Callithrix jacchus: one gene and its partner. The protein of the gene in region 2 purifies or fractionates together with the protein of the main gene of each other region. This does not show direct contact. Links are inferred from orthologs where the notes say so. Each region holds a gene or a part of one and is shown on either strand. Other genes may lie near its edges. The genes, in order: GTF2A1 and TBPL1.

The links.
Region 1: the proteins of TBPL1 (region 2) and GTF2A1 purify together in Homo sapiens (affinity purification with mass spectrometry; 5 studies listed by BioGRID and IntAct, counting the BioPlex papers as one, with this or other methods). This does not show direct contact. The link is inferred for Callithrix jacchus from reciprocal best matches to the Homo sapiens genes TBPL1 and GTF2A1.

What each region holds. Positions count from the first base shown.
Region 1 is NC_133509.1:116,182,087-116,186,616, reverse strand, and holds the start of GTF2A1 (transcription initiation factor IIA subunit 1), read left to right. Parts: upstream 1-1,546; 5' UTR 1,547-1,987; coding exon 1,988-2,017; intron 2,018-2,949; exon of another isoform or gene 2,950-3,023; intron 3,024-3,793; exon of another isoform or gene 3,794-3,977; intron 3,978-4,530. UniProt on the Homo sapiens protein: TFIIA is a component of the transcription machinery of RNA polymerase II and plays an important role in transcriptional activation. TFIIA in a complex with TBP mediates transcriptional activity.
Region 2 is NC_133505.1:140,664,938-140,668,750, forward strand, and holds part of TBPL1 (TATA box-binding protein-like 1), read left to right. Parts: intron 1-657; coding exon 658-740; intron 741-907; coding exon 908-971; intron 972-2,472; coding exon 2,473-2,576; intron 2,577-2,673; coding exon 2,674-2,768; intron 2,769-3,813. UniProt on the Homo sapiens protein: Part of a specialized transcription system that mediates the transcription of most ribosomal proteins through the 5'-TCT-3' motif which is a core promoter element at these genes. Seems to also mediate the transcription of NF1. Does not bind the TATA box.

The DNA of each region.
Region 1 (4,530 bases), on a different chromosome or scaffold from region 2:
AACAAGAAGTCCTCTCAATATGCAGTAAAATTTACCAGGAATGGTATTGTTTAGTGTAACTTTACAATTGGGCTATCACCTGAATATTAAATAAATCACAAATGTTGATTGAATCACAATTTTACATTGCTAAGAACACTGATTTCCTGTGATTTTTTTTCTTTAAGTGTTCCAGACCATGCAGCTGTGCAGGTAACTGGAAGTAATTGTTAAGAGGGGAATGGATTTGGTGTGAAAATAAATCTCAAGGTTCATAGATATTCTCCACACCCATTGATAATCTCCCATTTTCTGCGTATTAAAGGCCCCTGCTTTCTCTAATCCCTTTCTTCAGGTGTTGGCAGGCTGCATTTTTTTTTTTTTTTTCTCTTTGGTAAGATGCCTTTGACATTCTTCAAATCTGGTTTCACCAGCAAAGAACTTTTCGTTTTGCTCTGTCTTTGGAAGACAAACTCCTTCACTCATCCAGATGACATTTCAGGTCCCTCAAAATTCCAGGGGCTCCGTTCTGCTTGTAATGTTGATATAAAGGCAGGATTTGTTTGGACAGAGGAGGTCAAAAGCTTATTGGATTGCACTTCAAGACACGGGCACAGCCGCCGTGCTCTCTTATAACTAGAGGCCAAGCGATTTGGGTCAAGGGCATGTGTTTCAATGTGATCAGTCACTACACGTTGGCCATGCGGAGTAGTGGGATTTTGGCAGTATTTTTTAAAACCAGGGAAAGTTATTGTGCTGTTATAATCCAAAGGCTGGTGGGGTTGTCTCCCCTACTCCCCGCACCGCATTTCCACCACCGTGACAAATTATTTAAAGTACGTGGGCTAGTAGGGAACTAATCTCTGGGTAACCTAAGTAAGCCTGGTCTTCGTAGCGGACCCAGTGTGGAAACAAACCAAGTCAGAGGTTAGTAACTCTGGAATGTGAAAGTGGGCCCCAATCGGCTTTTACTCCCATTGGGAAATTCTACATAATTCTGCCCGCGAAAGACCCACCCTCGGCGAGGAGCGAACGCTCCGAGGCTCACAGTCAAAGCCTCGCTGACAAATCAAGAGATGACTCCGCATTTAAAACCGTCCCGAATCGGAACCCGCCAGAGGCCGGAAGCCGCACCACGTGACCAGTTCTCCGCGGCCATTCCTAGCGAGGCAGTCGCTACCGCTTGTCTCATTTCCTAGCTCCTCCAGCGCGGGACCGGGCGGAAACGTGCGACAGGAGGCGGTCCCACCTAGCTTTGGACTGGAATGTCACTAGAACTCGCGCCTTTTCCAGAAACGCTTTGCAAGTACTTCACCGCAAAGAACTGCGGCAGACTTCCGCCTGGGTGCCAACCACGTGATCACGCGAGAGTTGGAGAGGCGTAGGTCCGACTTCACTACTTCACTACCCAAGCTCCGCCAGTCGAGCACCCCCACCGCGCGTGACGACGCGGCTCGCGGCGGCCTCCGCCCCGACGCGCCTGCGCACGCGGCTCTCGCGGTGTCTCGCGCTCAGCCCCGCCCACCTCTGCCCCCGCCCTTTCCACCCCTCCCTCCCCCATCACCCTGTCTCTCAGCGGCGGCGGCGGCGGCGGCGGTTCGCGCAGCTTGTTGGCTCGCTATATAAAGGAGAGAAGCGAGCGGACCGGACGGCTGGAGCTGCAGCCGGTGGCAGCAGCGGCGGCGCAGGGAGCGGTGACCGGTGGTGGTTTCCCTCCTTGGCGCGGGGTGGGGAGCGGGCAACGCCCCCGGACCCCTTAAGGGTCGTGGATTTTTTTTTAAAAAGACGATTCTCGAGGTTTTTAGCTGCGGGAGGAGTGCCCCCCTCCTCCTCCTCCTCCTCCTCTCCGCTCTCCCCTACTCCTTCAGGATTGATTTTGTTTAAGTTTTTTTCCCCAATCTTGCGGTGACTTGGGTCACCCTCGGGTGTTTTAGTATTTTTTTTTTTTGGTTTTGTTTTTATCTTGTTTTCTTGGGGTTGCCCCCTCTTGTTTGTGTTGTGTGTGGAAATGGCGAACTCGGCAAATACAAACACCGTGGTAAGGACGTGGTTCGGTGGCCGGCGGGGGCTTCGTTCAGGCGGCAGCAACGGCCGGACCGGGCGGGGGCGGGGACGGCGGCGACTCCCGGCCTCGACTCTTCAGCCGCCCGCGCGGCCGCCGCCGCTGCCGCCGCCGCTTCCCGCCTCGGGCGGATCGGGCCGGGGCGGCGGGCGGCGGGCGCGGGGGGGCGCCGAGGGCTCGCGGCTCGGGGAGGGCGGGGGCGCCGGCGGGGCCTGGGGCCGCCGCGGGCCGGGTCGGGCCGCGGAGGCGGTTGGGCCCGGGCGGGCGCGCAGCCCCGGCCCCAGAACCCGGCCCCCGGGAGGGAGGGCGTGAGGGGAGCCGCCGCTTCCCCCCGAGGGGCCCGTCCGCGCTGGCTAGACGATGGCTCCCCGAGCGGCTTAAGAACAAAAACCGTGTCTGGGGAATCGGGCGAACCCCTGAGACCCACCGTGATCCACTTTAATGCAGTGGAGGATTAATGGCTACTTTTGGGGGTTACTTAGGTTTTTTCCTGGCAGTTGTGCTTTGGGAACCTTCACTGGGGCCATTTTATGTTTAAAAAAAGGACTAAGGTTGTTTGAAAAGCACTTATCTCAGTTCCTTCCGAATGGGTAAAATGGCGAAGGGGAAGCAACCCCCCCCCCATCGTATCTTCGACTAGCAAAAGCACCAAAACAAACAAAAAAAGCCTACAGTGGTCCAAGTGTCCCTGCTTTCGCCTTGAAATTTGCCTACTTCTTCCCGTTGGTCCCTTTTTGGTTATTTGCGATCACGTAGGTTTGCAAAAAGCAGTCACATAAATAACCTTTTCAGTCACCAACGCAATGTGATCACTAGTCCCCCCAACTCTTATTTTTATATGACAATAAAACACGTTTTTGCCCGGTCCCAAATGCCGCAGACTAGCCCGCGGCCGCCCGACACCGTACCGTTGGCGACTCGGGTCGATCCATCATGGCTGCGGCCGCTTACCCTGCTTTTCAGTCCCTGAGCTTTGTGGTCCTCCTCCCTTTGGCTGCCCTGTTTATATAGAGCCATTGCCGCTCTCTAATATAGACTCTGCCAGGATGGGTAGGTGCTTTTCAGGCCTACGTCACCGCCTCTCCATTTAAACACCAGATCCGGCTTTAAATAGTGAGAGCTGCTGAGAGCGGGGCTGGGAGGTGCGTGCTCCCGAGGCGAGAGCCAGGCGCGTGCGGAGCTCAGTTTATTTGTAGGTCCTTTTTTCACGCTGTAATTTCGCGCCTGTCGGGGGCTGCTTTCAGAGCCCCAAGTTTTTGTTTTGTTCCTAGCAGCAGCTAGGAATTACCTTCTTTTGTTTGTTAGGGGAAATATATCCGAATCGCTGTCCGTTTTTATTTACAATTTTCAAAATATGAAAACAAAGAATTTTTGATCAGATAGTCTAGTGATTTTCCTGTGTGCATTATTTTCAGGAATTAAAAAAACTGCTTTCTACAAAGTGTTAGCTGCAGAGGACTTGGTTTTTGTTGTATTTTGTTCAAATATTCAGGAAACAGGTTAGAAATACAGCTCCTAATATTTCATTATGTTTTTCTATAGTAAATCTAAAAGACACGAGGCCTTTCAGAGAAATAGATAAGTGCCTGAAGCTTCAGAATAGGACCATTTATGTGTAGGGGAATCGTGAGTAATTAGAGGGAAGAGACTTAGTGCAAACTGGATTTTAAAAAACTGTTAAGTAGAACTTTATCGCCTTGGATATTATTAACACAGTATCCAGTATAAAAATTATTTCAATTTATTTTTCAGCATTGCATCAGGGAATTAACATTTTTGAAGGAAACCTCCTAAGAAATCACTTAATAATGCCACTAGTGGCCCTCTGATAAACCAGTTTTCAAGTTTGAAATACCTGTCTTTTTAAAAATCAGGACAAACCTAAACTATTTCGTGAGAAACGGAAACTTTGACTCAATAGAGTGAAGAATTTTAGGTACTAGTTTATAAATTGCTTATTTCAAATAATGCCTATGTGCCCACATAGTTTTCAAAAATTCGTGTCTTGAGTGCTTTTCAAATTGTGAACAATTCTAAATTATTCATTGGGCATATACTTTGTGAAGCATACACGTTTCCCTTCTTTAAACTATAGTGCTTATGAAGCTGTTAAGTGATCAAGTTGTGAGTTCATTAAGGCACAAAAATAAAATCTTAAAGAATGATTCATTAAGTAGAGGAGTACCAGAAGAAAGCAAATTTATACCTATATATCTCTGGATCTCCAAGCAAAAGGTTTTTAGAGGTAACTGATTTGAGGAACACCACACCATCTAGTTTACTGAAAAGCATTATGTATTGTCAATTTGAGATTTATGCTCCCAATTTAAAATACATTGCCCTTCTAATGCCTTGAGGAGTCATTATTGATTAAAAAACAAAACACTATAGAGATACTTTTGTAATTCAGCAGTTAAATTAATTTAGTTAAGATGATGTCCATAGTCACATATACTTTCCTTATATGTAGAAACAGAATGAATGTTAAA
Region 2 (3,813 bases):
CTTCCAAAGCTAATTAATTTCTTCTCCAGCTACAACATTTCTCTATTACTCAAGATGCCCGTGTTGAACTTGAGTATGTAATAAGCATCCCAACTCTAGGATGCAATATAAAGTAGTGATGGTACCACGAAGCAGAATAAAAATAAAGCAGGGTTAGGAATTAGAAGGTGATGAAGGGGTGGGTGTTTCCGGGAAATGGTAAAGGAGGGCCTCTCTTCAGGAGGGGACCTCTGATAAGAGACCTGAATGAAGTGAGAATATTGAGGGGAGAATATTCCAAATGAAAGCAACAGCTACTGCAAAGCTTCTGAGGCATGAACAGATTTGGTGTGTGTGAGGAGCCATGTAAGTTCCAGTTATGTGACTGGAGTGGAATGAGAGTTGAAATGTTTATGTACTTGGAGTATATTTATTTCAAGTATATAGAGTGAGAGGTTTCTATCCACCTTGTATTTTTAATTAATCAAATGTCTTTTTGGATTAATATGTTCTTTGTGTTTAGCATTGTACTTGATTTCAGAATGGGTGATTTGGAGAGCAGTTATTGCAGTCTTGGTTAAGCTTGGAGTAGTACTTGGACATTAATATGGCTGTATACAACAGAACCATATGTGAAAAGTAATGCTTATGAGGTAATCAGATTTTTTTCCCCCCCAGAAAGTATTAATGAAGCTTAGAAAACCTAGAATTACAGCTACAATTTGGTCCTCAGGAAAAATTATTTGCACTGGAGCAACAAGGTAAATGCTACTTGAATTTTTTATTTTTATTTTTTACTTTTATCCTCAAGGAAAGGACATTGTCCTAGATTTAACAGCAAAATTATATGTAAAGCTTGCTGTGTTCCTCGGGGTAAAAATTTATTTCCTGTGTGACTGATCATCTTTTCCTTTCCTTAAAACCATAGTGAAGAAGAAGCTAAATTTGGTGCCAGACGTTTAGCCCGCAGTCTGCAGAAACTCGGTTTTCAGGTAACATTTTCAAACACTATCTAAACTACAAATATTGAAGGATTTATTGTTGTAGAATTAAAAATTGTAATAGACTCAAGAAATCACTATACATACTATTCTCGTGATTGAACTTTTTCTAGGTTTTTAATACTGCCCTTCAGCGTGAAAATTAGTAGCAAAATTTGGCCATGTGGGTATTTGTAAAGGATCCTAGCTTTTTCCCTAATTCCTTTCCCATAAAGGGACTTGTTTCCTCACAGGTTAATTTCCTTTTCAACTCTTTTTAAGTTTTTTCACTTCTGACATACACATACAAAATCATTTTTGGTCATCTCAAGAATGCCAGGTCAGGATGGTAAATAGAGAACTGCAGAGGCCTGTTGACATGGGCACACCAGCTGGCAGGCTCTCACACTTGTAACGTGACTGTCACCGGCATGTCAGCCTTATCAGTGTAATTTGATATCGGTATACCTTTGAATAAAATAATTATGTATTATGGACTTGCTAGATCACTTGCAAATAATAGAGAAGTGAAAGATAAAAATGAGATATGCTCCCTCAGGGTGAAGGCAAGGCTGTTTGGGATCGAGACAAATTTGTAGAAGTGGGGATGGAAAGTTGCGTTTCCCTCTGATGACTCAGTCTACTCAGTCCTTCTGAAGTAGACGGTGATAGGAAAAGACTGAATGGCTAGTGGGAGAAGGGGTTCATGCTTGAGGAGGGAGGCAGTAGAGAGTCTTGAGTTGTACTGTGATTTGAGAGTGCTGCCACTTTGTGGTTTCCTGGCTTTCTGCAACTGCTGTGTGCAAGACTGAGCTGGAGGATAGTTAGCGCCTCTGAAATTGTGATTTTAGGAGGAATGTTTGAAAAATAACAAGATGAAACAGTTGAAGATGCTGGTAGGAGTGGCCGAAGTTATTACTGTTAAGAGAGCATTATTTTCGGCCTTGGAACTTCTTTTCTTAGCATGACATCAGAAGTGTAGAGAGAAATCCCGATTAGTTAAAAACAATTTTGTCACTCTATCCCCAAATTTCTGTACTAATCTTACAGAAATGCCATTTTACCTAACTGCATATGAGAAAAACATCTGACTTTTGGAGCCCAGTGTACAGTCTGTATTTACTGACATTTTAAAGTGACATCTTTTCCATTTTTGCTCTAGCAGGATGACCTGGCCTTAAATTTTTTCCCTCACTATTCCCTCTTTTCCTAGTAGTTTTAAGTATTTCACTTAAAGTATTTAAAAAAAAATTACACATATGATTAGAAAGACCCATACTGTTTTAATCATGCAAATACCTCAGGTTTTAATTTTTTTAATGATGTTTTTGAGCTTTTTAAAAAACAAAGCTTTCAATGCTACGCAACTTACAGTACTAAACATACACTTAAAATGTTTTTATCTTGTTTGCTCTTGTTTTTAAGGATTGACAATTATTAAGGATTGCCATTATGAGCAGACTTTTTTGTTTGTTTCAGAATAAATTTATTGAGCTTTACTTCTCTCCTAAAGGTAATATTTACAGATTTTAAGGTTGTTAACGTTTTGGCAGTGTGTAACATGCCATTTGAAATCCGTTTGCCAGAATTCACAAAGAACAATAGACCTCATGCCAGGTAAGTCTTTGAAGCAGATTCTCTTGATAAATTACCAAATTTGAAATTACCAGTCAGGCTATAAACACTTATATTAATTGTGGCTTTTTTTGTGTAGTTATGAACCTGAACTTCATCCTGCTGTGTGCTATCGGATAAAGTCTCTAAGAGCTACATTACAGATTTTTTCGACAGGAAGTATCACAGTAACAGGTATTCTATTATATCGTTACCAAACTTGTCAATTATGGATTGAGTGATACAGGATGCTCATACCAACATAGAAATAATGTCTGATTTGTTCCTATCTGTCACTTCTGCCCTTTAGGAGGCAGTCTCCTGACTTTTAGCACTGTAGATGTGTTTTACCTATTTTTGTACTATCTACAAATGTTACACATATTATTTTGTGTCTGTCTTCTTTCACTCAGCATTATCTTAGTGAGATTTATCTGCATTATGTTCTGTATAATTGTATGTAGATCATTCATTCTTATGTATGGACATTTGAATAGTTTCCAGTGTGGAGCTTTAAAAATATTCTGGTGTGTGTATCCATAGTATGATATATTTTTTTTAATTTATGATATCTTACATTTCAAATACTCATGAGAAACTGATTTTATAAATTTCACAGAGGTTTTACATAAGCAAAATATTAAATATAATTGGTACCTGTTTATTATGTTTATCTTGCTGTATCTTTTGAATCTTTATTTGGAGAAGGGGTAGTTTCAGAAGACTAGGCATTCATGTCAAAGGGTAGCATTAGCATGTTGTGTGACTTTTTAATGGTACTATAATGATTATAAAGTGTACAGAGGCATTGCTTGAGAGTCAGGCCCAACCTTAGGTAAAAATGAATTAAGATTTCTTTAGTGTCCTTGAGCTTTGTTTTTTCTTTCTTCAGTCCTTAGAGGAAAATAACAATTTAATCTCTCAACAAATAAACTTTAGTTTTAACTCATCCCATGGGTTTTTCCATTTTCCTTGGGAACTTTCAAAGCGGATTCCAAGATCCCACCTGAATCTTAAATATGGGACAGCAGGGGACACGTCTGTTTCTTCCCTTCTTTCTGCTCTCTGTTTCTACACTTTGGAACCTGGACATCTGAGAAGCTCCAAAGTCTATTAGTAAATCTCTGCTAAGTATACAATAAAACAATGCATATGCAAAACTGTTTACTGAGTTACTAGATATTAAAACGATAACAAACTGAAGACAATTGACCTGGTTAAGTGGTATGCATTATTTACT